Bombyx mori: one gene and its partners. The main gene of each other region encodes a partner of the protein of the gene in region 5 in a complex. Links are inferred from orthologs where the notes say so. Each region holds a gene or a part of one and is shown on either strand. Other genes may lie near its edges. The genes, in order: mediator of RNA polymerase II transcription subunit 16, mediator of RNA polymerase II transcription subunit 23, mediator of RNA polymerase II transcription subunit 9, mediator of RNA polymerase II transcription subunit 21, mediator of RNA polymerase II transcription subunit 18, mediator of RNA polymerase II transcription subunit 7 and mediator of RNA polymerase II transcription subunit 1.

Region 1 (3,995 bases), on a different chromosome or scaffold from region 5:
TGTCCGCAGGTTCACGGAGTCGTTCCAGAGACAGCCGCCGGCAGTGCAGCAGTACTACCAGCAGAGCGCGCTCAAGCTGAGGATAGCTCTGTGCAGGTAGAAGGGAGGGGACACCGCCTCCGCGGCTGCTATTTGAACAAATTCACATCGCGGCCCGCAACCTATCGCAAAATTCATTTTTTAAGTTAAACATGGGGTCATTGAACCTGGCGTCCAATTGAACGTAGTCGCCCCGGGGCTGCGGCGCACGTGAGCATTTATATAGTGAGCAGCTGTGACGACACCGCCCGCCTGCTGATGCACCCTCACTAACATCAGTGCTTGTGCGGGCGGGCGTCATTATAAGCTAATGTCATTAAAAGTAGTCACCGACTGAGTACGAGACTTGAGATTTAACACAAGTGTGTATAAGGGCAGGCTGTCGGCCCGGCTGACGGGCAGCGGCGCCTGGCTGACGTGCCTGCAGACGTGCGAGGTCGTGTGGGCGGCCGCCTCCGCCGCGCTCAAGCTGGAGGAGCGGCCCGACGGCGACTGCGAAGAGAACCACATCGAGCAGGATAAGGTGGGTGGACCGGACGACACCTGTCTTGTCGTGTCCCGATGTCCGTGGACTACACGGAGCTGGTTCGTCGTTACAGTTGATAGCGTCGCTAGAAGCGAAGGCGGAGGCGGGCGCGGAGCTGGCGGCGCTGCGCGTGTCGGTGCAGCGGGTGGGCGACATCGCCGTCACCGCGCTGCTGTCCCTCTCGCAGCAGCCGCACCACCAGTCGCACGGGTGAGCCGCTCGACACTCCGCCAACATTTAGTAACATTAAACCACATTACATTTACGCTACATCTTATAGTGGGCGGCCGCGGAACCCTTGCACATCACGTGAGTCCGTCCTGCTCATGGAGCCCAACAAACATATACTCACAACAGCTGGGGTAGTACAGTTGACGGGAGGGACTCAGAGCGGTGTTTGTGGCAGGTACGAGCTGTGGTCGGACAACGGCGCGGTGTGGCTGCTGCGCAGGGTGCTGGCGCTGTCCCGGGGCACCGGCCGGCCGCACGACGCCGCCGCGCGCTGCCTGGCCCGCCTCGCCGCCGCCGCGCCCGCGCTCAAGCAGGACCTGCTCGGTACCACGCACGCAGTCACACGCACATGCTACACGCACACATGTTTTTTTTATTTTTTTATTGTCGTATAGGCAGACGAGCATACGGCCCACCTGATGATGAGTGGTTACCGTCGCTCATGGACGTCAGCAATGCCAGGGGCAGAGCCAAGCCGCTGCCCATGTACGCACGCCACACACAGGCACACACATCACACACGCACGTACGCACACACGCACGCGCCTTTACTAGCTCTGAGTCGCGATACCACAAATTAACTCTACCATAATTGGAGCGACATGCAAAAATACATTAATCATATATCGTCATATTTGTCCCGCACAAGCTGTGTGCCCCCGGGCACCGCCGCGGAGCAGTCCACTGAAAGCTCGGAGCGTGTCCTGGGAGCTCTGTCACCGTCCGACCCCCTCACGCAGGGGGGCCGGCGGCAGCGCGGGGAGCAGGGGGCTCGAACCGGTGGACGAGCGTGGACCGTTGATGATGATGACCATATTAGTTTTTGTTTTTATGTAATAGAGGAGTGTGCGTCGCTGGTGGCTCAATGTCCGGGGCCGCGCGTGTGGGAGGCGCTCCCCCGGGTCAGTGTCTCGGCGCCTCACCAGAAACCTGGACCCCACTATGTAAGTTGCGTGCCCGCGGGGCCCAGGGGGCGTACATAGATGTACGTACCTGGTCCAGTGGGGCGGAGGTAGCAAGGATTCAGCTACCTGTGAAACTACAATTTTATTAATTCATTAAGTCAGAAATTTGGTTCTGAGTTTCGTATCTACGTATTCCGATGCATTTTGTATTTTCTCTCTGCCGGTTATAGTTTTATCATGTGAACTAGTAAACTAAAAAAGATACCCACTCACCCTTATAACAGAAATTGACGCAAAAAAAGAGCTCTCTCTCAGAGCCTCGCTAAACTTCAGTATCCCGCCAAAATTAAAATTAAACTTCAAACATGTAAATAACCATTCGGTCGCATAGGAAAGTAGTATTTTTTTGTATACTTAGAAAATATTCCTAACAAATTCGGTAGCCACGGAGGTCTGGCGTGGTTGCTACAGGGGCTGCTGGGAAAAATGGTCCAGGAGGAAACGTCCGGTAGTGTGCGGGCCGGGCGGAGGTCATGTACAATGTTTGTGTACAGGAGTCTTGTACTGACGCACCGACCTTAACCGTTGAGTAGTGTGGGGCTCGATCCAATATAGATAGTCGACTATAATAATTTAGTCGATTAAACTTGTGAACGATCAAAAATCAAAATAAATTTTAAAAAATAACGAAAAAGAGTATCTTAAGTTAATAAAAGCTAATGAATTATAAATAAAATATAAATTACACTGCCCTATTAGCGATTGAATGTTTATCGCCTTCTTCAAATAACATGTAAAAATAATGTTATCAGTTGGAGTACGGAGTAGAGCCTGATTCATTGAAATATGCGCCGGAGCCGCCCCCCTACGTGCAATGTGAAACTACACCCTCTCTAGCCATGGACTCCATACGGTAAGTGTTCAGAAGCTGTTGCCACTACACTGTGCTTATTTGTATACAGACAACAACATATTACAAATAACGAATAGATAAACATAATTAAAGTTAAAAGAAGTAAATAGCTAAAAGCGATATAACTAATTTTTTCTAACCACTCCCTATTATTTTCTAATGAAATACGTACTCAACAAATGTTCACGACTGCCTTCCACGGTGAAGGAATAACATCGTGAATAAAAATGAAACCCGCAAAATAATAATTTGCATAATTACTGGTGGTAGGATCTGTGAGTCCGCGCAAGTAGATACCACCGCCCTGCCTATTTCTGCCGTGAAGCAGTAACGCGTTTCGTGAAGGGTGGGGCAGCCGTTGTAACTATACTGAGACCTTAGAACTTATATCTCAAGATGGGTGGTGCATTTACGTTGTAAATGTCTATGGGCTCCAGTAACCATTTAACACCAGGTGGGCTGTGAGCTCGTCCACCTATCTAGCAATAAATAAATAAAAAACAAAAAAAAATATTTTTTTTTAAGCAAATTAAAAATACTTAGAACGGAATAAAATATAAATGTTTTAATTGAACCACGCAACGCAACAAGAGAAACTTCAAATTGTAACATTTAGCCGTACTGCATGCGCGGATCGTATTTTTAGAAACGTACAGTTTGTTAGAATGTAAACAAGAAATTGATAAATGTATTACATGATAATATATAATATCCGGTTGCGTGTCAGGTACATGTACCTCGGAGGAGGGTTGAGGCCGGCCCGCTGGCGGGGGTGCGCGCGCTGCGGGGGCAGGGCGCTGGCCGCCGCGCTGCCCGCCAGGCACCCGGCGCACAGGGCCTTCGACGCTCGCTTCGTCTCCAGCTGCAGGTCGGTCTGCGTCCACTACTAGAAGAGCTCTTGACCTCGGGGAGTCGCCGCCCCCTTGTTGTCATTTAACAGAGCGAACCAACCCTCGTGTCATGAAAGTTTAAACCCCGTTGACCAACTGTTACTGTTTTCAGATGCGGAGGAAAGTGGACGCTGTTCACAAATACTGAAATGAATTCAAACGATAAATAAACTTGCAAGTGAATGTGATAAATAATAAAATGAAATAACGTTTAAGTGTTGTTGTTTAGTTTTATTTTCTTAAAACGCTCGTTAGCGAACTGTGAACTTCTCATGATGTATACAACTTCATATTATCCGGTTGACTGTGTTCCGTGGGGCTCTCCATGGCGATTGGAACGTGACGCAGAAGGCGGCTGTTGTTATCGTTTCCGCCCCTGACTGCTTCCCGACTCTCGCATTAGACGCCTTCAGCTCTAGCACTAAGAGCAGGCTTAGGGACTAGTAACCGTATTCGTTGAAATAGGCGAAGAGTTCGACGTGCAACCTAAG
Region 2 (4,626 bases), on a different chromosome or scaffold from region 5:
GAAAATGGGGGTAGCTTAGTCATGAATTCTCTTGAATACCGTCTCAAACAGTTGTTGTTTTTGTTGACATGCGTATTATTTATGAAACATTTTACTTTAACTATTTTTAATAGGGTTTTTAAGTACAGAAATCTTGACAAAAGTACCATTATTATCAGAATGCCACTGGGTCACGTTTACTCACCTGTTCAACTGTTCAAATTCAAACTAAGAAATACAGCAATATGCAACTGTGAATCCGAGGAAGGTACTGTGGATCATATATCCTTCAACTGTATCCTTAACAATAAGTGTGATCCTCTATATACTTTATCAACAAACATAATCCCCCTCCCCATCAACATGAACTTCCTATTAACTTTCCCCACTAAAACGGTAGTCTACTTGCTTGGATCTTTCATAAACGCTAATAGTATAAAATTGTAGTTCCTACTAACTGTTTAATGCAAAAAAAATTAAACTAAATAGGTCTTAGCATAATTATGTTGAGATATAGCACTAGCTGCGTGTCGCCGCACTAGTAATGTTGACTTGTTACCATGGATACATTCTCTACTTAATAAGATTGTGTCATGTGAATAAAATATAATTTGTGATATTAAAAAACCGAGTCTGCTTATTCTTCCACATAAAATCTTAACAAATTATGTTGATACCTCCACTACCCGACGTTGGCAAAGTTGTATTTAAATCTAAGTAACAAAAGCCAGAAAGAAAGAAAAAGAAAACTATTTAAGTCAACTAAATAGTGACGTTGCACCGACACATGTGTAATATATTTATTAAATAATCTTCTGATGATATGTGCTATAAACAAGGATTTTCTCCGTATAACATAAGAAGCTTTAAAATTTGATCGTCAGATAATTTCTTCACCATTTTTAAGTAATTTATTCGCCCCAGTAATCCGCAAAAACAACCAACACGTGCTTACTGTGTCAGCACTGGAATGGCACTGGATCCAGGTGCACTGGATTGGTCGCACTGAATTCAAAAGTAGACCGCCAATCCAGTTACTGGACTGGAATGCTAACTGGATTCAGTGCATCCAGTGCCAGTTTACATTTTTCCAGTAAGCAATCCAGTGCTGGATTCGATCACTGGACTGGAATAGTGTAAACCGGGAATTATTTTATACAAAGAGTAAAGTTCAAACTTTTTTTTAAGGGATTTTATGACCCGGTGACTAAGACTTTTAAGTCATGTCTTATTTTAATTTTTTTTTTGAATTCTTATTTTTATGAAAAATAATGAAATGAAATGAAGATTATTTGTTTGAGACATGAATCAACTTGGATGAAATCAAATGAAGTGAGATGAGATGATATGGGATGAAATATAATCTCAGTAAAATGGTGCTAATTTACTGAGATTTTTTCAGTGGACTTTTTAGATGATCCCAAGAAGTAACGTCCAGCGGCTTTGTTTCATTTTCCCACATTTGTGCACTTTCATAGATATTAAACAGTTAATAAACCACCATTATTACATATTTAAACCCGAAGAAACACTAAATAGACAAAATAAAACAAATGACACAACTTCACTCCTCGCGTTCCCGCCAAAAAGTCCATTTCAAACTTTATTGTCCATTTTTTTTTTTTTTAAGAGATTTTATGACCTGGTAACTAAGACCTTTAAGTCATGTCTTATATTCTTAATTTTATGAAAAATGATAATATGGAGTGAAATGAAATGAAGATGATTAATTTGAAACATTAATCAACTGGGATGAAATTAAATGAAATGAGATGATATGGGATGAAATATAATCGCAGTAAAATGGTGGTCATTTACTGAGATTTTTTCAGTGGACTTTTTGGAGGAACCCGAGAAGTTACGTCCAGCAGCTTTGTTTCATTTTCCCACATTTGTGCACTTTCACAGATATTAAACAGTTAATAAACCACCGTTATTACACATTTAAACCTGAAGAAACACTAAATAGACAAAATAAAACAAATCACACAACTTCACTCCTCGCGTTCCCGCCAAAAAGTCCTTTATTGTCCAGTGTCCACATTTAGCATAGATTATTCAATGCATTTAGTCATTTATTAAATTTCGCGTAGTGATGGTTTAAGTATCCCAGTTTTTACTTGTTAACGTTGGCATGTAAATTTAAGAAGAACATAATTCCTAACAGCTGCATTTGTAATTAAAATTTCTTTCTTGAGTTAACTTCTTCCGTCAAAGATCTTATACATAATTATTATTCTGAAAGACATGTACCGATAACTTTGTAACCTTTCGGTGTTTTGTTGAAAGCGTAGTTTGGATGCTCCAGTGCTTAGCTAGTTTTTTGTATAAAGGTGACCGTCAATCCAAGCGCATGTTCGAGGAAAATATAATCACGGAAATGGCCGATTCGCAAGTCGCCAACATAGTGAATGAAATATTGGTAAATATATTTTTCTTGGTTAATAATATATTGGTAAATATAAAGGTAAACGTTCTACTGTGCCCTGCATCTGTGAAAATAATAGGTACTGACAAAAAAATTACTCACATGATCATCTACATTAATTATGAACAAAATGTTGTTTACTATTGTTTGTTTTTCATGAATAAAACCTACAAATAATCGAACTTGTTTCTTAGTTGCAAACATGGACTCATGAGCTGATGGTAAGTTGTACTTCGAGATCAGAGGTTTTATGAATAAAAATTAATTTCATCTCATTCATTACGCGCTGAATATGTACTGTTCTGCGTTTATTAATATTTGTGTCCACGTGCTTATTGTATGTAGCTGGCTTGATGTGAAGGTTGATTGCTTCATTTATGTTTAGGTTTAAAGCATCTAGCGTGTTTACAATGTGTAATAAATTTAGTCTAACATGGAACGTAAGGACTAAGTATCAAATGAATAAAAAAGCAATTATGTTATGAAAATAACAGAATATTTCAAATTTCATTAAAACTATGGAATTGTCAACTCTATTTTACTGTTGCCAAGTTAACCTTATGCATTTGTTTCAGTTTTTAAGATAAATTAATATCTCAAATATTTGTTTTATTCTGAATTAAACTTTGACCGATGGGCTAGATTTATCACAGAATGTAAATTGTACATAGCACTGTAGCAAATGATAAAATTTGTAAAGGGATTAAACTAGAAACCTTGTTTTTTAATCAACTAAGACATCTTAAAGTATAAAACTATTGATAAATAAAATTTGCAGTGTCAGAACACCAAACTGTGAATTGGCAGCAATATTAAATAAAACATATTAATAGTACATTCAGTATATTGAAATAATATTTAAAATGCTGTTTGAAAATCTTTTACAAACTTCTTACAATAAAAAAACAATGAATGAGAATATTAAAATAGCTTTTTTAAATTACTCAGTTTAGAATTTTTAGTCTTATTTAATATTTAAGCATAATTTGCATTATGAACACATTTTCGTTTTTGCAAATTTTGTATATTCTTGAAACCTCTGATGTTCTTGAAATATTTTATGTGCTTATAATTGATGTATATGTTTGTGTTATGTAAGTGTTGTATACAGTTTTCATAAAAGTACTGAAAAATGTAAACAATTCTAAATTAGTGATCATCCTTGTTAACCTTCATGAAATAACATAAATTTAAAAAGGTCAATTATTTTAATTCAGCAGTAAAAAAATTTAAATATATTTGTTGTTTCCTTAATTGGTAACAAAAATTATCTAACTTATTTTTATATATATTGTTTACAGTTATCTGCACGTTTATTTAAACAGTACTTGTCTTGTCTCAAAACTTGCAGCTTTTTACTGATAAAAACTGTAAATCAATAAAAAATGTAACAATATTTTACAAACAGTATTAAGTAACTATTATAAATACATAAATAGATAAATTTACCAAACACATAAATAGATTATATAAATACATAAATAAATTACCTATTTTCATTCTTACTGTTATCAAATTCAAACATTAAAATTACTGGTCATAATTTAAGTCAATTTTGGGTCCTTTCATTTACCAACAATTTTCAATTATTTTAGAAGTGTGATTAAGAAATTTGCATCTGGGCATTATAATATCTTCCCATACTGTGTCCCCTACATTATTAGAGATTGGCAACAATTAAAGTTCTCCTATATGCTCAAGAGACAAATGGAAATTAATTACAGTAACTAAAGCGCTCATTTCTCCATTGTTGTGTCCTTAGTGAAAATAGCCTTTATAGATATTTTAATTATGTTACATTACATATTAACATACATAATCACTCGAGTTGTGAATTTATAGAATAACAGTGGAAAAAATAAGACACTTCCATATAATGAAATTGGAAAAGGGGTTTAAGATCAATATCAGCTGTATGTGACTTGGTGATTTGGGACACATGTGTTCTACTACCATCTCAGATACAAGCCCCTCTAATGTTCCTGCTTCTGATGATTAGAGGCTTTTGGGTGTCAATCTGGAGGAAATTACATCCACTCTGGTGATATAGAATGAACTTGATATTATAACTTATTTCAAGGGTGGATGTTTATCTCTTAGTCATGGAGATAGTTCTCTCAGCTGCCAAGAATGTACTACGATAGTCATAGAAAGTTGTTGAAACGCTCTAGTGTCTGGTGTTGTGGTAGTAGGACGTAACGTAAAATTATATTAGTTCT
Region 3 (3,564 bases), on a different chromosome or scaffold from region 5:
TGAAATAGTGGCTGTAAATTTAACGTATCTGAATTCTTTCTTTAAATATTAAAAAAAATATATTAATATTTGTCCACAGAGGACAGTTATAATTAGGACTTCTAGAAGTTTGCTAGATACATTATCATCGAAATTATATTATTCAATATACTAATACTGTGCAATCGCCTTTAAGAATGTAATTCAATCGATAAATAACTTTACAAATATTCGGAGAAGAATCTGTATTAAATGTAAAACAACTATATTTTACTTTTAATACAAAACTATTGCTCTAAAATGACTGGCTGGAAAGTGGCACATACTATTCAAATTAATCTAAAATCTATATTGATCTTTTTATCTAACTTAAAGGTTTTTCTAGTGATTGTTGCATAGTACAATTTAGTAGTTTTACTACCAAGGGTAGAACTCCTGTCGTTTTCTGGGGACGTAGTGACACTGATTAATCTAGACAGCCTCAAGCCATACCGCTAATCCACCTGTCACAATGGGTCGGCATATTTTCGCAAGTTAAATCACTAATAACCTCGAGGTTCTTATAACACTAATTAAAACTCAAGTATATATTTTTACAGCACTAAGCTTAATCTTTTAGGGTCACTTAAAATATTTGAACACTTAAAAATAAAAATTAAAGTTAATGAGATCAGAGTTTTGAATCATCATTGCCTTAACTCTGAAAACCTTATAATCGCAATAAAATTAGTGAAGCTAGCTGCTTTCTAAAAGTAAATATATTTTCAATATTTTGACATTTACAATGAATACCATTGCAATATTGTGATTTTTTCTTAGAATTAAGTAAAGTTTATATTTTTATTGATTTGTTCAGAGTGAGTGAAATAAAAATAGCTCTAACTATGTTACAGTTTTTTATTATCTAATTTAGTAGTTATATTATGTAAAGGACACTACTGATAGTGAATTACAATCAACAGCAACTAATCCATGGTTAGCCAAAAACATCCAAGGAACTATTATTATTTTTTCAGTTGTTTTTTTGCATCCTGTACTCCTTCCTTCAAATTTGCACTGAACCTTTTTAAAAACTCTATAAATTTATTAACTTTCTGTGGATCAACATCAGAGAGCTTTTCCTTCCCTCTGTAAAATACTGAGACAGCTAACTGAGCTGCTCTTCGTACAGGGTAGGACTCTGCAATCTTCTGTACAATTCGTTCATTATTGGCTAAGTATTTAAGCAGCGCACGTAGAGGCATCTTCACTTGAATGATGTCTCAAATGAGCACATATTCCGATACTTCTGTAAGAGTTCACGCTTTAATCTCAGCTGAGTGCGGAGCAGTTCAAATTGCTTCAGCTGGTCGTGTTTGTTGAATTCTATACCTGGGAGCCTCCTGATCTGAAATGAGTGATATATTATTGCAGATAATTGTGTACTGGTTGATGATATATTATGGCAGATACTTGTGTATGAGTTCATGATAAATTTGATTCCTCAAAATACAAAAATTATGCTGACTTAGCATATTATTTTTACATTACAAATGTTAAATACCAAGTATGTTTCCAGTATTTGAAAGTAATCTCACCTGAGCTTTAGCTATTTCTAGCCTCTTTTGTAATTCAAGAACTCTATGACTGCACTCGTGGGACTCGCGTATTTTCGACGCGTTGTCGTGAAAATCTCTCTCCACGCTGTAATAAAAACATTTAAAGCACCAGAAAATACAAAATGAACTTGAGCAAATCTAGTTTGTCTCAAATAATACGCAAAATACCTTCGTATTATATCGTATACAATCGGTAAAAAGTCTACATCTACATCCTCAACAGTCAGGGGACTGTAGTTCGTCTGTTCTGAATGATCTGTGTTGTTTTCCATTGTACAAATTTTAAGCACAATTTTTCACTTGCTTATTATGTAACAGATTTTATTATACGTACGTTGTTTATTAATTTATAAATTTATTAGATTATGGTTATTAAACACATAAACCTAGGTACGTAAAAAAGTAGGTAGATTCTTTACCATCACAAAACCGAAAACGACAAAAATAATGATGTGTTATTGTGTTATCTATGGACAGCAATGGACTATGGACGAAATCGCGGAGAATAAGTCGAATGTTTGTGTGATCGGTGTTCGACAAGCAAAGGAAATAAAGCTCATACACGAAATTTTTGGAACGAAGTTCTTTACGGCAGGCTTGGAGGAGATAGGGATTTTGCTGCACGTCCGAACTGAAAAAAATGTGATAGTAAAACCGTAAGAAAAAGTCCGTGGAATAAAACCGTTAAATAAGACGTGCGCAGGCGCGACAGTCATATACACAAGCGAGTAGTGTATAATACCTTTCTCTTTTTATGTATATTCTTAGTACGATGGCTATACAGTGTCTAATGTATAGTCTACGTGATGACGGTTATTATTATAATTCGTATAAATAGCTGTTTCTTTGTATATTATTATTATAATTTTTTATAAATCATTGTGAATAAAATAAAGTTGATAACTTTGTAATGTAATTATTATTATATTTTTATCAATAAAAAATAAAATAATAAAAATGTATACCTGAATAATTATTTTCTTTAGACCTCGAATAGAACTTGAAATTAATATTTTTATAATAAGGAACTTCGTTCCTATCCGGTGTCCCACGACACCACACATCTTTTTTTTACAAAGGCTGTAGTAATGTCTGTTAAAGAAAAGTAAAATAAAATGAAAAAAATGTTTGAAATAAAATGAATTTGAATGAAATTATATGACCATCGGTGTTTTATGGGACGAAATAAATTAATCAGTCTGAACAATAGTGAGAGTTTACTCGTCACTTAACTTTTTAGAAACGCTTGAAAAACCAAGTTCAACAACTTGGTTCCATTTTCTTAATCTTATCCACTTTCACGAATACGAAACCGTTGCTATTTATTAAACTTGTAGAAACACTGGATTAAGAAAATAGCACAACTCAGACAAGTTATCTTCTCCTATTTCTGCCAAGATTTTGGAATCGACTAAGAAAATAGAAATTTTTTAAACTACTTACCTATCATTATATTCTGCATAAATTTTAGGCCCGACTCTACGAAAGTTTTAAAATTCTACTAAGTTTATTCACGCTGAAGGTAATTGTTTTTACTCAACTAATTATAATATGTGCTTAGTGATTTTAATTAATTAAAAATATATCAATCAGAGGTGCTACGGTAATAAAATACCCCATTCTTTCTAAATCAAGAAGCTCTGTAGTGATACGTTTTAGTATTGAAATCGCATCAGATTTTAAGAACGCCAAATGGCACTTCGAAACATCAGTAGCAGGCTCTATCCGAATCATTTTCTATGGTTCGTACGTATATTAAAATATGAGTTAAGAGTGTGTTGCTGTGTGTTATTTTGTTTCTGACAGGGTATACGAGGAACGAAGTTTTTTTATTTTTTTATTTTTCTATTTAGTGTTTATTCAGGATTAAATGTGTAACTTAACAATAACGGTGGTTTATTAATAATTTAATATCTGTGAAAGTGCACCAATGTGGGAAAATGAAATAAAGCTGCTGGACGTTGCTTCTCGGGATCGTCTAAAAAGT
Region 4 (4,503 bases), on a different chromosome or scaffold from region 5:
GTGTAAAGCTTTAATGAGGATTGAAAATTTTATTAATTATAGCTAAATCCAATACTTAGCATGATTGTTTGCACTTGATTCTAAATGAAAAGTTAAGCTTTGTGATGCTCTCTAACAAAACTAATTGTGAATTGTTAAAACTATTTCATTGTGTGATTTTTTAAAAGTTTTAGTAAATAGTCATTACTTGTTGCTATGTTTATAACTATATTTATGCATAAAATTTGATAATAAATTGAGAATAGATCTATAATTTTAAGGTATTTGATAATAATTTTGGTACTATAGTGTGAAGCTTTGAAGTTTTCAAACAATTTATCTAAATTGTTTTAAAACATTTTTAATAACAATCACGAGGTTTTGTGTGTGTGTGTTTTTTTTTCTGTGCACAATTTAAAACCTCTGTCTTTGTAAATGTGGCCGCAAACGGGGGTTGCTAGCTGATAAAGATGGAAACCTAGATCCAAAGTAGAGTGAGAGAGTTAATGCGTAACATCGTTTGTCAGACAAGGATGGCGGTAGACAAACTTACCCTATTTAAAAATTAAAAACTAATGCGCATGCGTCGAGTGCTAGTTTATTCAACCAACTGCGCTCACTTTCTTACTTTACAAACGATAATTTAGTTAGGTACTCAAAAAAAAGTGGGAATTTTTATTTGCTATATTATTATGCTAATGAATTATATTCATATTGCTGTTATTAGTAAAGTTTTGTACTTAATTTATAAAAAAATTAGATGCTATGTTGGGTATGTACATACAGTACTCAAAAATCTAATTTAGCAATTTTCATTGTTGACTTCTAAGCAATTTAAATTCGATAACGGCGGATTTCTATCATAAAAATGTGATACCGCAAATGCTTAGTTATTTTTAAAGAGTGCAGGTTAGGCTGAAAGCTATCTAGTCTTTTATTGTTAATTCGTACGAGAATAGCGCGAAAGCGGTGATGGAAGTTTTTTTTCCTACCTATTCGGTAGCCTACACACACTGCGACGCAACTTCTTGATGAATTTTAGTTGTTACAAAAATGACGCGAGGATTTGATATTTACTTATTGCGCGACAGGAGGTGTTTGTTGATTGTAAAAAAAATGGCTTACACGAAACGAAAAGAAAAACGGAAAACTTTTACAAATTAGTAAAGTTCTGCCAATTTTACTATAGCACAGCTGCCTTAGATTGAATTAGACTAATAGTTGTAGTAGTCATTAAACAATAACATGTTTGAACACACAACCTCGTTATATCCGTAATGTGAATCCAGCTTATTGTTAATGTTGTTTCATTGAATAACTAAAATTTAAAAATAATCGTTTAAGGTCTGAAATGAAAGAGGTTCATTAATGGTTTTTTATTATACTTAAATACTCAATAATTGTGATGTTTTTCTAGTCGGTAATATTATGGTTACCTATTGTGTACACTGCTTACATTAAATAAAGGAAATTTTGAAATTCATTTCATTGCCTATAATTAAAGTTTTTTAATTTTTTTTATATGTAGATGGGTGGAAGAGCTCATAGTCCACCTGGTGTTAAGTGATACCGGAGCCCATAGATATCTATAACGTAAATACCGTCACCCACCTTGAGATATGAGTTCTAAGGTATACTTACAACGGCTGCCCCACCCTTCAAACCGAAACGTCAAGTGGTCCTGTTATTAGCAACATTACTATTTAGCTTATAATGTATATAACGGAGAAATGGTTTTCTAAATTTTAATACTGATGAGAATGATTGCAGTTCTAAATGTATTTTTTTATTGCCCTTGTAGGCAGACGAGCATACGGCCCACCTGATGGTAAGTGGTTACCATCGCCCATGGACTTCAGCAATGCCAGGGACAGCCAAGTCGCTGCCTACCGTTAAGTACTTTCCGCAAGCCTCGTTTGAAGAAGAATACGTCATAGCGCTCGGAAAACACCGTGGAGCGGAGCTCATTCCAAAGCCGTATGGTACGTGGCAAAAAAGATCTCTGGCTTAAAATGGCGTTACTATTCCAAATTAGGTACTGTTTTGCTGCACGCCAAAGTTAAACGATCGTAATATAATTGTTTCCTTACAGAACTTCAAGTTATTTGGATTTTAGATTAATGTCTCAAATGAATCAACTTTATTTCATTTCGCTCCATATGATCATTTTTCATGAAAGAGAATAGAATGTACATACAAAAGACTAGGATGTATGGTGTGTGATATCTTCGCCTTTCCACCTGGAAATATTGGAAATATTACTTAAAAACGTCATAACGTTCAACTTCAAATAACTTCATTCAAAAGGTAGTTTTACAAATTGATACTGTAGGTAGCTTAAAACCACCTTCCATAGAAAATATCCATATAAGGATTAAATTTTAACAGTGGTTAGTAGGATAAATATCTGAATTGAATAATGGCTGATCGCTTAACTCAGCTTCAAGATACCATAAACCAAGTACGTATGACAAAAATGAACATTTCGTTTTAATTGACATTAATACATTTCACATACGTTGTATTTATTTATTTGTAGCAAGCTGAGAATTTTTGTAACAGCATCGGAATTCTACAGCAGTTCTCGTTGCCTAGCAAGTTCCCAGGCTTCGAACGCGGTGGTTCTCAGACTCCTCAACAACCGCAGAGTCAAGAGGATTATGCGGTTTTATTCGCGGCTCTAATTTCTCGTTGTGCTAAGGACATTGACACGCTCATCGAGTCTTTGCCCAGTGAAGAGAGTTCAACTGAGCTGCAAGTGCAAAGCCTTCGGCGACTTGAGGCCGAGAACAAGGAGGCTGCTGAGCAACTTGAAGAGGTAAGGGCTGTCAACTCTCCGTGCCCAATACACGTGCAATTTATCTCAAAGGACACTAGCTTTCTTTTTTATCATAAATTGGGAATTATCATGTAACTAAACCATTAAAATAATGATTTTAAAGAAGTAATTATGCCATGCAGTTTGCTTTTGTATTGCCATTTGAATGTAAAATCAAATATTCCAAGAAAGTATTTGTATTACAGACATTGTATTTTGTCTATAGTCAACTTTTGTAATGTAAACAAGCACCAATATTTAAACATAAATTAGTACCTACTTAAGATAAAATTGACAGTAATAGCGATTTGGTTAAAGTTGTTTCCTTAACTTCATTTTGAGATGGCACACTGGAATTGTATCAGCGAATATTACTTTATTCAATTTTCAAAACCCATAGGGTGTTTACAGATTAATCTCATGTTTTAGATTGCCATGACTACAAAAACTTATAGTATTTGAAATATTGGAAGTAATCATATCGACGCTTGAAAGGCAAACGTGACTAAGCGACAATGCGTGAACTTCACAGTAGACTAATTTCAAGATGAAATACCTGAAAAAATTCTATTTTAACGAAACTAGCTGTAGGATTGAAATGATTTTAATAGACCTAGAAATATATTTTTTTTGGCATTGAATATGGTTATTGCCTATCATGTATAAAGCAGTTATTGTCGCTTAGTCACGTTTGCCTTTCAAGCGTCGATATGAAAATAATTACACATGACTTACTCTCTTTTCATTAGCGTTAATAATAATGTCAGACAATATTTAATAATTCTACAGGTAGTCCGTCAAGGAGAGATTCTTCTAGAGAAGATTCAGGGTGCTCTGAGTGATATTGCTCAGTGCCAGTTGGACATGCAGAATCCGGCTCTGATCCTCAACAAGGATGTGAAACCACAGTTATAGGGATGGGGTCTGGGGTTCTACCAACGGTAGTTTCCTCTACAAAAGGATACGTTAAAACAAGAATACACGGAAGTATTTTAGTATTATATGAATTTTAAAATTTTGTGTTTGAAATCTTAATGCTTAATGACGAAGATTTTTTTTTGTTGTTTGCAAATTTGTTACAGGGCTTTCATGCCGGTGAAAACTAAATTGTCTGAATGTCATATTTTTGAAACTATAATAAGAAAAACATTGGTATGACATATATCATTTTAAGTAATCATTTGTTATAATTGAATAGTTAAGTATACATGACTTGTTTATTCATTATTTTCTATTATTACGTAAGGCATACTTTAAGTCTGAAAGGGTAGGTACCGCCACTCTGCCTATACATACTGTAAAGCCGTTGTTTTCCAGTTTTGAAGCACAGGTTAGTTGTTGATGATGATTTTGAGATGAGTGGCGGCAATGACTGGGATCTCTGGGCTATGTTAATCTCTTAATATTAGATGAACTCGTTCATCTATATACATAAAATAAAATGAACACAAGGAAAAAGTAAAGGTGATTGTATTCAATGATGAACATGAGTTTTAATTAAATTAAAAAATATTTATGTTTTATGTTTAATTAATTTAATTAAGTTATTATGTTTAATTAAAGGTTTAATTTTTCTTTTTGTTGTACGCCCTGTATATGCTGGAATGGACTCGAATCTAAATATTAATATACTTTAGAGATTGGAAATAGAAAACTATAATCTTGAAATGAAAAAAAATCTATATGATTGAAAATAAATGTTGATA
Region 5 (4,657 bases):
AATCTACTCAGAAGGATAAATATCATCTTCACTTTGGAGGATTTCAAAATTTAATGTTGCTACATATTTGAATATTTTTAATTTCCTTATAACATTCTTGTTGAACTTTAGAATAGTCATTTTTTATTGGCTTCATAAAATCTGATTACCTTGCCATATTTCAAACTTCTTGTATGCAATGAGAGCGAACCATCAGAAAATACATTCTGTACTTCAGCGCTTATCAAATCACCTTCCTGTAAATGTTTTCTCATCATCTGCTCATCCTCTTCTGAACGCCTTCTCTGGATTTAAAAAAATATATAAATAGTTATCATTAGATACAAGAAGATTGCTTTATATTATGGAAGTGTGCGTTAATTTACCAATTCTCCGCCAGGTAGATTTACTGAAGAAAGTTGAAGTATTGAATCAAGTCGTGAATTGGTATCAACTTTCCATCTTTTCTGTTGAACTTCCAATACTCTTCCGACTACCACATCGCCTATTTCTCCAACGTAACGACTCTTCAATGGGCGAATGCATATAAGTTTATTTACTTTTTGCATAACCCCAGCAACAGATGCTTTTAGGCAATCATCTTCTGCGTAAGTTCCGTGGCCTCTTAAAGTGCAAAATTATTAAATTTATAGTAATAATAATTCTTAACAATATTGTTTTCGCAAAAAATACCGACCTCATAAAATCTTGTATCCCAGTTATGACTTCGCCAGGAGTGTAAAAACGCGGCGGGTCATTATTTGAGGCAACCGAATGATTTACTCTTTCAGATGCGAGTTTTATAGATACATGACTGACCATTTCTAATGTTTTTTTAAGCTCCCTCTTTGCTAATTGTGAATTGTGTACAACGAACTCATAGACCTATAGTCGGATTTTTTATTAGACGAAGTCAACTGACGTTTACTGTGTTGTCAGGTTTTGATGAAATAAAAATAGTGTTGTGACAAAGTGAACGATTGAAAAAACTCCTGAATTAATGAAATTGCCTCGATTGTCTAGTGAATAGTTAGTGTGCCGAATTGCCGATATCGGGTACGGGGTTCGAATTTTAGGCGTGCTTTGTACAACCAATGAGTTTTCGACGAAATATTATGTTCCTATAGTATCTACCTGCACTGAATACCGAGTGTTTTAAACATTAAGAAAAACATTGCGAGGAAGCTTGTAAGACTGTCCTATTTCCAATACATCATATAGTTGAAATTATAGATGTATAAAATATAACAATTATAGGTATGTAATGAAAATAAAAAAAAGTAATTGTAGTTACATACTACTAGTAACATATATTGGAGCACTTTAATACAATTTTATTGTAAAATATAAATAATATTCTTTTATAGTTTGAAATTAATGATTAACTCTTCACACTCATTGTTCATTCATGTGATTGAACGAGAACTGAACAGATGATAAGGGATGAAATACAATCTCACTAAAATGACGGTTATTTACTGAGATTTTGGCCTTTTTGGACGATCCCGAGAAGTTACGTCCAGCGGCTTGGTTTCATTTTCCCACATTGGTGCACTTTCATAGATATTGAACAGTTAATAAACAACCGTTATTACAGGTTTAAACCTGAAGACACACTAAATAGACAAAATAAAACAAATCACACAATTTCACTCCTCGCATGTAGAATCATTGGTGACAAAAAATGTTTAAAAACAAATACGGCCGTACCAATATGATAATATGATGCGATACCATTGCCTCTCTCTCCTGTATTTGAAAAAGGAAATTACAAAATGTCACCTAAATGAGGCTAAATGTCAACATTGTTAGTAACTGTCAAGCTAACAGCGATTGCAAACATATCTCTACCTTGTTAAATTCCAATATGAGTATTTAGATTATGTTAATTAGAAATTAGAATTTATTTTCTCCTTTAAAATTGCCTAGTTTTTTATTTTACGCAATATTTATAGTTTCGGTTATATGGACTATTTAGACTGAATGCACCTCTATGAGACAGAAAAGTCGTTTATAAGTGTAATGATTTCTTGGCTCACACATAGTTCTTCAAAACTTAAATCTTTAAATAGCTGCTATTGAAGTAGGTTTTCAGATTTTCAGCTCCATAAAATGTCGGCAAACGCTGCACCTATAACAGCTACAGATAGCTTATCGCAAGCTTTAAAAGCGAACATTATACCAAATCAGGAATACTTACTTCAGGTACTACAGGATGTTGAAGTGGCTCAGCTATTTTAAATTTCAGAATAATTACAATATAGTCTACATTCTTCTACAGTTTCCATAAATTGCATACTTAACAGAACTAATTACCATAGTTGCAGCTATTGTATCCAATTCTTTTGACCCATTTGATCTGTTTACATACTACATTCAAAATATTATCAGAACCCATACATACATAGCTTACATATAATAGCAGCCCAAAAAAACATGAGATAAGGTCTTAGTTACAATGCCTACAATGCTGTTCTTAATAAATAAAAATAATTCATTTAATGATTTTCAATTTTACAGTATTTCATAGCTGGAAATTATGATAATTAGGCAACAGGCAGCAACTTTTCTCAAGATTCAGTCAAGTTTGTTAATTGTTGAATATTATACATTTAATTTTTGATTCCACTAAAATTTGATTAAGGGCTCAGTGTTGGACTCGGCAGTAGAAGTTTTACTTCACCGATTACGTGGTCTTTGTGACAATGTTGATGCTGGGCCAGAAACATTTGATGACCAGGAAGTGTGTTTCAGTCTACGGGATCCTAATCATCATCAGGTAATAATAATACTTAGAACTTTTTAAAATATTTCTGTTAATGTTATTATTATTTTAGGACACTAGAATATAAAATGGTTATAAAATTATAATACAATAAAACTTGTATTAAATTATAAATTGATTAAATTTTGCCTGGGCTGTCACCTGTTTGGTCAAGAAAAGTGCTAATGATTTGGTAATCACTATTAATACTGTACAATTCGTGAGCATAAAGACATGCCTGAATCTATATATTTTTCTTTCATGTTCTAATAGTTCATCTTTAATAAATTTAAATTTCAGGCTCCCCCTCTCATGTTGCGTGTTCGTAAAGCATTAGATGCTCGAGACATGCCATTTCAGTTACGATACATTGGGCAGCCTGATTTGGGGGACAAAAATAGGCCAACAGTTGTCCGTTCCAGTCTTGATATAGCCTGCAGTGGAATGCTCATTGAATTTTTAAATGAGCTAGGATGCCGAATTGAATTTGAATACAGTGTAAAAGGTAATAATATTTATTATAATGACAATTATGAGTAATATGATTGTACATGTATTTGATAGTATATTCTAAATCATCACTATTACTATACCACTATTGTTAATAATGACGAATCAAAGAAGACCAATAGTCAAAAATACTAATTCAATTTAAAGTATTACCTAGATTTGGGATTTAATTAAATTGCATATAATTTTCAGTGGTTCATTTAAAATCAATCAATTACGGTAATTTTATAAAAAACATTAAGCTTTTTCTAATTCTAAATTTCAGGTTACATGTTTAGAAAAGGTCGTATGAAAATTACTGTAGCAAAAGTGTTTAAGATTTCTCAAAATTCAATGCCACCTGAACCTATCTCACAGAGCTATCTTGTGGAGCTTTCTGTAAGTTTTTGACACCCAATTAAATAATTTGTCAAATTTCCCAAACAATACCGCTTTCTGGTTTTGCTTGAGTATGATGATTATATATGATCTTTAAGTACCGTAGATTGGGGAAAATGGGGACCCTTTCCAATTCCAAAACAAATTTTCAATGCTTTTATTCTTAGGGTAATACCAATAAAATTGAGATTAAAATGGCTCCGAAGGTTTAAATTTTTAAATACGATTCATTATTTTATATAGTTCATATAGTCACAAAATATACACAAAACCTTAAAAAACTTGCTTGACCCGATTCTCTTTGAATGAGGCTATTTCTCTCATTGACTTGTCCTTCTTCAAACGAGGCTTGTGGAGAGTATACAACGGTAGGCAGCGGCTTGGCTCTGCCCCTGGCATTGCTGAAGTCCATGGGCGACGATAACCACTCAGCATCAGGTGGGCCGTATGCTCGTCTGCCTACAAGGGCAATAAAAAAAATACGCTATGTATGGGGACAACAGAGTTTTTCGATAAGGCTGGCACTATTTAGTTCTTAGGTAGGTACCTAACTTTAGGTAATTAATTTTTTATATCTTTAATGAGATACAAAGTTTTGATATCTGAATTAAACTATATAATATTCTTAAACACTAAATAATAGTCATCTTCAGTGCAACAAAGTTATATCTAACAACCCAACAAGAGTATTGTGACATCCCAGATTTGTCCCTATTCTAACTCTAGTCTCTATTCTCCCCAATCTACTGTAAATAAACTAAAAATAAGGAAGAGATTTTTAATTTGCTGGCTTGGTTTTGATGTAAACAGCTTGGTTTTTTCAAGCTATAAAAACATAAGTAACCTAACCTACAGGTTTCCATGAATAAGTAAGGCTCAATAATAAGCTTCAATTGTTTTTTTTTCTTCTTATTTGTACGTATTAAGTAGATTTTATATAATTAATGTATGTAGTTGATGTTTGTAGAGCAATGTGGATTTATTTTATTTCATGTATGTTATGTGATGTGTAGTGTATTTCAGTTG
Region 6 (4,679 bases), on a different chromosome or scaffold from region 5:
GCATGCCCGACAAATGTCGACCGTCCCATCCTTTAATATAATATATTTCCGGTAGTTGTTCGTCATGATAACTTCGTCCATAATTGCAAAGATAAAACCTTCAGTTTCCCCAAAGAGGTTACTGAATCGTAACCAGGCCACGGAAGCTAATTGGTCTACATCAGGCCCTGTGAGAGCCCGGTAGAACCTACCGTGTAACTCCTTGCTCCTCCATACGGTTATGCGATCTAAAATACTCTTATTATTATTATTATTATTTGGTATCTAAACATACCTATCTCACACCATGTTTATTTAATGAAAAATTAAATGGAACTAATTATGAAAAGAAATTTAACTTGGATTAAAACTGAAGAATTTTTTTATAAATTATATAAAATATACAGATCAAATAAAATAATTCATAAAACTTACATCCCGAATTCCTGCCAAAGGTCTGCTAAATTAGATATTTTATTTCATTTTTCATTTTTTATTTGGGTTATACAATTACGTATGAAATGTAAATAAAACTACTTTTATTGTCTTTAGCGAATAATTGAATTTTTTCAAGTCTTAATAGTTGGCGCTACTGCAAAACATGCTGTCTGTGGCGGGTAGCCATCATACAACGCAAGATGATTGACGGATGCCTGAATCTCGCTTACGACATTTTCAAGATAAGGCAGAGCTCGAAACTTAGGCATCCGCCACAGAAAGCATGCTTTGCAGTAGGGCCAACTATTACTGTAGATATACGATAAAGGGAAGATCTTCCACCGAGCGGGTGATAATTGCTCTGTAGACCGACGGTCCGAATGTTGTTGTTCGGAACTTGTATATAAGCAAGCTGATCTTGAAAATGTCGTAAGCGAGATTCAGGCATCCGTCAATCATCTTGCGTTGTATGATGGCTACCCGCCACACTGTCAAACTGCAGTTTCGTGTATCCACTTAATCGCAATCGCGATGTGCCTTTTAATTTTTTTTATTTTTTATTGCTGAGATGTGTGGACGAGCTCACAGCCCACCTGGTGTTAAGTGGTTACTGGAGCCCATAGACATCTATAACGTAAATGCGCCACACACCTAAAATATTGTCCTCTGTATGAGAGCCTACTGCTATAATCCAATTGATCCAGCTCAATCCAGACACCAGAATCTTGCAAAGTTATAATACACTTAACAGATCTTAGTTACTCATTGATTTTCTTGTGTGATACATTTTATGAAACCATTTTAAATGATTTTATAGACACACCCCACCCCTAAGTTTGTTGCCAATCTTTCCTGTAACATCCTTAATAGTTAATTGTCTCCACGACTTGCGAAAGCTAAAGGAACAAAGCCCATAAAACATCTTTTTTATTTTATTTATAAAAGCCAAATTGTTTACATGAAATTTCTTTTTGGTTATAAAACATCAAAAATCTTTCGACAAAAATCAGTTCGGGATTTTTTTTTTCTAAAGGTTCATTGAACACTCAGTACATTCTCAGAATTTTAGCGAAAAATTACTTCACTTCATTTTGTCCACACTTACGGTGTTGTCATAAACTCACCTCTAAATTGAAGTTCATTTAACTTTCACAACACCTTCGACCTTGGTGGCAAAAATTGGAATATATGAGCTATGTTCCCTTTGCTTATCCATAAGGCCAATCAAACAAAAAAAGCATACTAAAGCATAGATTAAACACTTATTTTTTAGAAAGCATAGACAAAGCTCATAATAATTCATACATTTCATACTGTAGTGTGTAAAGTTGTTTTAAAATAAATTTCTTCAATTTAACACAATATTTAAGAGTATGTAAATCTTTTTTTGTAAATATAGGCATATTCCGTTTTTATTAAGTGTTTGCTAGAATCGTACGTACGGATTCCCGGTTCACAATGTCAGAGACAGCTCAAGTTAGCTCTTTACCTCTGCCTCCAATGCAATATATAAATTTTTACACGGATGAAAATGTTAGAAGAAATAGAGCTCCTCTACCACCTCGACCTATTCATGATTCTTATTCAATGTTTGGTAATTCTTTTAACGCTGATGATGCTATTATACGTTCGTTAGAAAGCCAGGTAAGTCCTAAAACAACTAGTTTACAAACACAAATGTTTATGTAAATAATTCGTTGTAAAAAATTCCTTCAGGGATTTCGAAGATTGTATCCTATGCATTTTGAACGAAGAAGAGAATTGAAGAAACTTAACCATTCACTGCTGGCAAATTTTCTGGATTTGTTGGATTTGCTTGTTCATTGTCCAGATTCTCCAAAGAGAGCAGAAAAAGTAGAAGACCTAAGTTTGTTATTTATTCATATACATCATCTTCTAAATGAATTTAGGCCACACCAAGCAAGAGAAACATTGAGAGTAATGATGGAATTGCAGAAAAGACAGAGGGTTGAAACTGCAGCAAGGTACTATTAATAGCGTTAATTTGTCATATGTTGGTGTTTCTACTATATCTATACTGGACACCAAGGAACCATTCTAGAAAATAAAGATAGATCTCAGATCACAAATGACAAAATAAAAAAGATGCCAACATAAATATTTAAGTTATGTTTTTGCCACACACATGATATAACCATTAAGTGTGTGACTTATCCTTTATTATTTTAGGCTTTAACATTATAATATGATCTTTAATTGGGTGGTAATGTGAAAGTCTGATTTAAATTTCACTGGTTGGATTTTCACTGGTTGGAAACATTAGGTGCCACTAGTGATTAGACATTTTTATCTGTTACCACAGTACCTTCATGATTGAGATTCCCAGACATTTTGCCCATCAATGTTATGTTAATTTATTTATAATTAGTAGAACCTGAATAAATTTATTGTGTTTAATCTTACCATAGGCTGTTAAACACAAAGTCATATTAAGTTCTCCCAATGTTTGATATTGAAGCAGAATAATGAAAATCAGATTTGTAATGAGTTTAATTTTTTTTTATTTTTATTGCTTAGGTGGGTGGATGAGCTCACAGCCCACCTGGTGTTAAGTGGTTACTGGAGCCCATAGACATCTACAAAGCAAATGCGCCACACACCCTGAGTTATAGTTCTAAGGTGTCTCAGTATAGTCACAACGGCTTCCCCACCCTTCAGACCGAAACGCATTACTGCTTCACGGCAGAAATAGGCGGGGTGGTGGTACCCACCCGTGCGGACTCACAAGAGGTCCTACCACCACCAGTAAAAAACCTTAAACTTGTCTCAATAAAAAAATTTTAGTATTCATAATGTCATATCATCTTTTTCAAACCAAAATCTGCCCTCTGCACTTTTTAGAGATTTCCAAATTTGAACTGTTTTGAGTAATATACAAAAATATTTTAATATAAAAAAAAAGAAATTAGCAGATATTGTTTACTGATACTACGAGGGCGGCACTGAAAATTTCGGGAATTAACGAAGTGACGAAGTTACTATTTAAAAATGTATTTATTGCTTATCGAAGTATTCTCCGCGAAATTTGACACATTTTTCCATACGATGGAACCAATCATTGAAGCAACCATTCCATTCGGAAGTTGGGGTCTCCAAAATGGCCGTTTTGTAGGCGTCTACAGCTTCTTCAGGTGATGAAAATCTCTGTCCACGCAATTTATTCTTTATTTTAGGGAAAGTATAGAAATCATTAGGGCTTAGGTCGGGGCTGTACGGCGGATGGTCTAATAATTCTATGTTTTCTTGCTCTAAAAACTCTTTTGTTCTGTGCGCGGTGTGAGAACTCGCATTGTCGTGATGGAGGATGATGCGGCGGTTGCAGTTCTCTTTACGGAGTTCAGAAACGACCTGTGGCAAACAAATGCTAGCATACCATTCTGCATTAACCGTTCTTTGTCCCTCAAGAGGAATAGTCGTAACATGGCCGGTTTTGGAGACAAACGTGGCCACCATTTTTTTTGCAACACTCCGTGAACGAACAATTTTTGTTGGCTTTAACTCATTTTCGAACACCCAAACTCGTGACTGGTTTTTTGTTTCGGGTTCGTACGCGTATATCCAGGATTCGTCACCTGATACAATGTTGTATACAGCATTTGAGGATCCTGCGTGGAATCTTTCGAGAGTTCTGACGCACCAAGTAACGCGAGCCGCTTTTTGCTCTTCACAGAGCGAATGCGGTATCCATCGGGAAAACAACTTTTTTACACCTAATTGTTCATGCAAGATTATTTGTATTTGACTCATGCCAATGTCTAAAGTTGCCTGAATTTCGCGGTATGTCACATGTCGATCTTCCTCAATCAGCTTACGCACAGCATCAACGTTTTCTTGGGTGACTGCAGTTTTTGGACGACCTTGAAGGGAATCATCACTGAGCTTGACACGTCCACGTTGAAACTCAGCAAACCAGCGATAAATTGTGGTTTTGGATGGGGCTTCATCACCAAATACAGAAATCATCCGGTCAACACACTGTTTTTGTGTTAAACCACTTCGAAAGTCATAATAAATCATCGCTCTTGAATTTTCTCGAGTCAATTCCATTTTCTCAACGACTAAACAAGTTTGACAAAACCTCGTGACAAGACCGAGAATCTTTTTTAAAATAAATAAATGGTATTCGATTTTTAAAACCAAGGAGTTTTCAATTAAAAAGATTTTAATATGACAGGAACAGTAGAAATATTCCATTCCCGATACTTTTAGTGCAGCCTAGTATATTATAACACAAGATTGAA
Region 7 (3,995 bases), on a different chromosome or scaffold from region 5:
CCCTTTTTTATTGCATATAGGGTACGGTAAACAAATTAACAGCCCACATGTTGTTGGGCGGTTACCAGTGTCGAAAAACATAACGATGTGAATTCCGCCATGCACCATGAGACATGAGGTCGATGTCTCAATTGTACAATATAACTGCAGTCGGTTTAACCTTTCAAATCGGAACGTGTCACTGGTTCTTGGCGAAAATATAATATCCTACAATTGAGGTTTTGCTGACAAGTAAAACGAGCAAAAAAAATAGAGAGAACATTTAGTTTCAAAGAAGTATTAAGTTAAATTGTGGTGCAATTAAATATAGAAAATGTTAGAAAGAGAAAGAGAGAGTGTGTGTGTGTGTGTGTGTGAGAGAGAGAGAGTGAGTGTGTGTGTGAGAGAGAGAGTGAGTGAGTGTGTGAGAGAGAGAGAGAGAGAGAGAGTGAGTGAGTGTGTGAGAGAGAGAGAGAGAGTGAGTGTGTGTGAGAGAGAGAGCAACAGGCAGCGGCTTGGCTCTGCCCCTGGCATTGCTGAAGTCCATGGGCGACGGTAACCACTCACCATTAGGTGGGCCGTATGGTCGTCTGCCTACATGGGCAATAAAAAAAAAGAGACAGAGGAGAAAGAAAGAGAGAGAATTCTTTATAGTAACATCAGGTGGACAAGTATCTTGGGAAACGAATTTCAGGCGGTGTACCTATCGATTGAAATATACTTGGTCTGGCCATAAATACTGTTACAATTAAAAATAAACAAAATATTACATTTGAATTTGGAATCTGTCATTTTTATATGATTGCTCATTGAGTTTTCTCATTTTGGCGCCAATACATAGTACAATATTTTGCGATATTAAAATGGAGTGGGGTGATAAAGAGAACCGAATCGCTGTGATTGCATTACACAAAGTAGGTATGGAGCCAAATGCAATGTTTAAAACTCTCCATACGCTTGGTATTAGTAAAATGTTTGTGTGCCGGGCTATTAATAGGTGCAATGAGACCTCCTCTGTTTGTGACAGAAAAAGATCTGGCCGTCCACGTAGTGTTCGTACGAAAAAGGTGGTCAAAGCAGTAAGGGAAAGAATTCGAAGAAATCCTGTCCGAAAGCAAAAGATTTTATCTCGGAAGATGAAGATAGCACCTAGAACCATGTCGAGTATTTTAAAAGATGACTTAGTACTTGCATGCAGCCTATAACAGACGTACTGGTCATTTCTTAACTGATAATTTAAAAGAGAATAGGGTGGTAAAATCGAAACAACAACTGAAGCGGTAAGCAAAGGGCGGTCATAGAAATTTTTTACAATTGAGCAACATTTTAACAAACAAAATTACTGTATTTCTGCTCAAATCTCTAAGGAAGCTTCCCAATTAGTCGACAGAGTGCAACGTGGGCACTATCCGACTTCAGTGATGGTTTGGTGGGGTATTAGCTATGAAGGAGTGACTGAGCCATACTTTTGTGAAAAAGGTATCAAAACATCGGTACAAGTGTATCAAGATACCATTCTTGAGAAGGTAGTGAAGCCCCTTAACAACACCATGTTCAATAATCAAGAATGGTCCTTCCAGCAAGACTCGGCGCCAGGTCATAAAGCTCGGTCAACGCAGTTTTGGTTGGAAACGAACGTTTCGGACTTCATCAGAGCTGAAGACTGGTCGTCGTCTAGTCCTGATCTTAATCCGCTGGATTATGATTTATGGTCAGTTTTAGAGAGTACGGCTTGCTCTAAACGCCATGATAATTTGGAGTCCCTAAAACAATCCGTACGATTGGCAGTGAAAATGTTTCCCGCGGAAAGAGTGCGTGCTTCTATTGATAACTGGCCTCAACGTTTAAAGAACTGTATTGCAGCCAATGGAGACCACTTCGAATAAGCTTTTTATACTTTAAATTGTTTTATATTTATGTATTAAACTAACACACTGTAAAAGTAATAAATGTTATTACTTGGAGCCTCTGGGTCTGCGGAGGGACTTCGGTTCCCTCTGTATTCTGTACCGTATGTTCCATGGGGAGTGCTCTGAGGAATTGTTCGAGATGATACCGGCATCTCGTTTTTACCATCGCACCGCCCGCCACCGGAGTAGAGTTCATCCATACTACCTGGAGCCACTGCGGTCATCCACAGTGCGTTTCCAGAGATCTTTTTTGCCACGTACCATCCGGCTATGGAATGAGCTCCCCTCCACGGTGTTTCCCGAGCGCTATGACATGTCCTTCTTCAAACGAGGCTTGTGGAGAGTATTAAGCGGTAGGCAGCGGCTTGGCTCTGCCCCTGGCATTGCTGAAGTCCATGGGCGACGGTAACCACTCACCATCAGGTGGGCCGTATGCTCGTCTGCCTACAAGAGCAAAAAAAAAAAATTGCAATAGAATTTTTTTTATTTTTAAAATAATAGTATTTATGGCAAGACTAGGTATATACGAGAGAGAGATCTGTAATGTTATGTATAAGAGTAGGGGAGGCATGGTTACCGGCGTGGTGCGGGTGCGGGTAGAGCGCGCGGTGCGGGTGCGCGGGCTCGTGCTTGAGCTGCTCGCCGCCGGGGTCGAGTCCGCCGACGCCGCAACTAAAATTCGAGTCCAGGGCAGAGTAGCCGCCGTTCATCTGCTTCGCTGCGGCCTCGCGCTCCCATATCTTGACGAGAGACCTGAAACGAGCGAGATAGTATTTAAAAAAAAAAAGCCATGTGACATTTTTTCCTTTTTTTTTTATTGCTTAGATGGGTGGACGAACTCACAGCCCACCTGGTGTTAAGTGGTTACTGGAGCCCATAGACATCCACAACGTAAATGCGCCACTCACCTTGAGATATAAGTTCTAAGGTCTCAACTATAGTTACAGCGGCTGCCCCACCCTTCAAACAGAAACGCATTACTGCTTCACGGCAGAAATAGGCAGGGTGGTGGTACCCACCCGCGCGGACTCACAAGAGGTCCTACCACCAGTAATTACGCAAATTATAATTTTGCGGGTTTCATTTTTATTACACGATGTTATTCCTTCACCGTGGAAATCAATCGTGAACATTTGTTGAGTACGTATTAGAAAAATTGGTACCCACCTGAGATTCGAACACCGGTGCATCGCTCAACACGAATGCACCGGACGTCTTATCTGTTAGGCCACGACGAATTCAGAATTCCTTTGTCCGTCAAGCGATTTCCTGTATATTTTTCTTTAACAGTTATCGAGGAGTTTCAGTGTTAAAAAAAAAAAAAAACATTAGCCAATACGTTTTCATACAAATTATTGGACATTTGATAAAAAAAAATTACGATACATCACGTTGCGCCCGTCAAGCAACTTTAACTATGTCGAAGCTGACTTTTGATCTTTAGCATCGTGTTCTATGAAGAATACAATATTCTAGAATTTCTTATTTTATGTGTGTAGAGTTAGAATCTAACCAATGAAAAAAGCAAAATATAATTGTTTTTTTTTTAATTTGCTTTATAATGATATCTCACCTTAACGTTATTGGTATAGAATGACTCTTTTGCAGCACCCTGGTGATGTAGTCGTCGATGTGGTCTCGAGCCGGACTGTTCAGCGTGTACACAGACGCGCGGGGCGAGGCCGGATCCGACAGTTCAAGTTCGACGGTGGCCATACATTCTTCTAGCGGATGTTCCAACGATATAGAAATGTGCTGCCACGAGAGGGCGCTCACTTCGAACATCAACACCTTTTCGAGTTCGACAGCTGACAAATAAAACATAAACAATATTATTTTTGGTATACAGAGAGAAAAAGAGGTGATTGCCACCACCCTCATAACATCAGGTGCGGCGTTAGGTCACCCATCGGCAATACTCAGCGATAAATATTCCACTTCGTCCATTGGAAAGGGACAACCAATCGATTTCAGTTTCACAGAGCGTTGTCTCTCTCGCACGAAACGCTATCAGTTGAATACTTTGTATGCCGTTGCAACAGCGCCCCTAGCGGCAAACGTGGGTAAACGTTACAACTCTATACAAATTTGAGTTAACTTTTACGC

Evidence for each region.
Region 1: mediator of RNA polymerase II transcription subunit 18 (region 5) and mediator of RNA polymerase II transcription subunit 16 share a complex: the UniProt entries of both Drosophila melanogaster proteins name them as parts of the mediator complex. The link is inferred for Bombyx mori from reciprocal best matches to the Drosophila melanogaster genes MED18 and MED16.
Region 2: mediator of RNA polymerase II transcription subunit 18 (region 5) and mediator of RNA polymerase II transcription subunit 23 share a complex: the UniProt entries of both Drosophila melanogaster proteins name them as parts of the mediator complex. The link is inferred for Bombyx mori from reciprocal best matches to the Drosophila melanogaster genes MED18 and MED23.
Region 3: mediator of RNA polymerase II transcription subunit 18 (region 5) and mediator of RNA polymerase II transcription subunit 9 share a complex: the UniProt entries of both Drosophila melanogaster proteins name them as parts of the mediator complex. The link is inferred for Bombyx mori from reciprocal best matches to the Drosophila melanogaster genes MED18 and MED9.
Region 4: mediator of RNA polymerase II transcription subunit 18 (region 5) and mediator of RNA polymerase II transcription subunit 21 share a complex: the UniProt entries of both Drosophila melanogaster proteins name them as parts of the mediator complex. The link is inferred for Bombyx mori from reciprocal best matches to the Drosophila melanogaster genes MED18 and MED21.
Region 6: mediator of RNA polymerase II transcription subunit 18 (region 5) and mediator of RNA polymerase II transcription subunit 7 share a complex: the UniProt entries of both Drosophila melanogaster proteins name them as parts of the mediator complex. The link is inferred for Bombyx mori from reciprocal best matches to the Drosophila melanogaster genes MED18 and MED7.
Region 7: mediator of RNA polymerase II transcription subunit 18 (region 5) and mediator of RNA polymerase II transcription subunit 1 share a complex: the UniProt entries of both Drosophila melanogaster proteins name them as parts of the mediator complex. The link is inferred for Bombyx mori from reciprocal best matches to the Drosophila melanogaster genes MED18 and MED1.

What each region holds. Positions count from the first base shown.
Region 1 is NC_085108.1:242,788-246,782, forward strand, and holds the end of mediator of RNA polymerase II transcription subunit 16, read left to right. Parts: intron 1-9; coding exon 10-96; intron 97-417; coding exon 418-562; intron 563-638; coding exon 639-775; intron 776-971; coding exon 972-1,120; intron 1,121-1,636; coding exon 1,637-1,740; intron 1,741-2,513; coding exon 2,514-2,614; intron 2,615-3,341; coding exon 3,342-3,482; intron 3,483-3,616; coding exon 3,617-3,674; 3' UTR 3,675-3,724; downstream 3,725-3,995. UniProt on the Drosophila melanogaster protein: Component of the Mediator complex, a coactivator involved in the regulated transcription of nearly all RNA polymerase II-dependent genes.
Region 2 is NC_085107.1:8,842,173-8,846,798, reverse strand, and holds the start of mediator of RNA polymerase II transcription subunit 23, read left to right. Parts: upstream 1-1,597; 5' UTR 1,598-2,278; coding exon 2,279-2,401; intron 2,402-4,626. UniProt on the Drosophila melanogaster protein: Component of the Mediator complex, a coactivator involved in the regulated transcription of nearly all RNA polymerase II-dependent genes.
Region 3 is NC_085116.1:15,850,812-15,854,375, reverse strand, and holds mediator of RNA polymerase II transcription subunit 9, read right to left. Parts: upstream 2,127-3,564; 5' UTR 1,850-2,126; coding exon 1,746-1,849; intron 1,663-1,745; coding exon 1,557-1,662; intron 1,367-1,556; coding exon 1,226-1,366; 3' UTR 863-1,225; downstream 1-862. UniProt on the Drosophila melanogaster protein: Component of the Mediator complex, a coactivator involved in the regulated transcription of nearly all RNA polymerase II-dependent genes.
Region 4 is NC_085122.1:11,557,528-11,562,030, reverse strand, and holds the start of mediator of RNA polymerase II transcription subunit 21, read left to right. Parts: upstream 1-1,509; 5' UTR 1,510-2,398; coding exon 2,399-2,440; intron 2,441-2,518; coding exon 2,519-2,797; intron 2,798-3,586; coding exon 3,587-3,712; 3' UTR 3,713-4,503. UniProt on the Drosophila melanogaster protein: Component of the Mediator complex, a coactivator involved in the regulated transcription of nearly all RNA polymerase II-dependent genes.
Region 5 is NC_085121.1:5,596,638-5,601,294, reverse strand, and holds the start of mediator of RNA polymerase II transcription subunit 18, read left to right. Parts: upstream 1-1,772; 5' UTR 1,773-2,091; coding exon 2,092-2,184; intron 2,185-2,623; coding exon 2,624-2,758; intron 2,759-3,043; coding exon 3,044-3,248; intron 3,249-3,518; coding exon 3,519-3,631; intron 3,632-4,657. Other genes in the region: exosome complex component RRP4, read right to left, coding at 150-284, 366-603, 677-801. UniProt on the Drosophila melanogaster protein: Component of the Mediator complex, a coactivator involved in the regulated transcription of nearly all RNA polymerase II-dependent genes.
Region 6 is NC_085119.1:10,080,604-10,085,282, forward strand, and holds the start of mediator of RNA polymerase II transcription subunit 7, read left to right. Parts: upstream 1-1,675; 5' UTR 1,676-1,875; coding exon 1,876-2,061; intron 2,062-2,133; coding exon 2,134-2,402; intron 2,403-4,679. UniProt on the Drosophila melanogaster protein: Component of the Mediator complex, a coactivator involved in the regulated transcription of nearly all RNA polymerase II-dependent genes.
Region 7 is NC_085114.1:6,968,034-6,972,028, reverse strand, and holds part of mediator of RNA polymerase II transcription subunit 1, read right to left. Parts: intron 3,698-3,995; coding exon 3,463-3,697; intron 2,643-3,462; coding exon 2,467-2,642; intron 1-2,466. UniProt on the Drosophila melanogaster protein: Component of the Mediator complex, a coactivator involved in the regulated transcription of nearly all RNA polymerase II-dependent genes.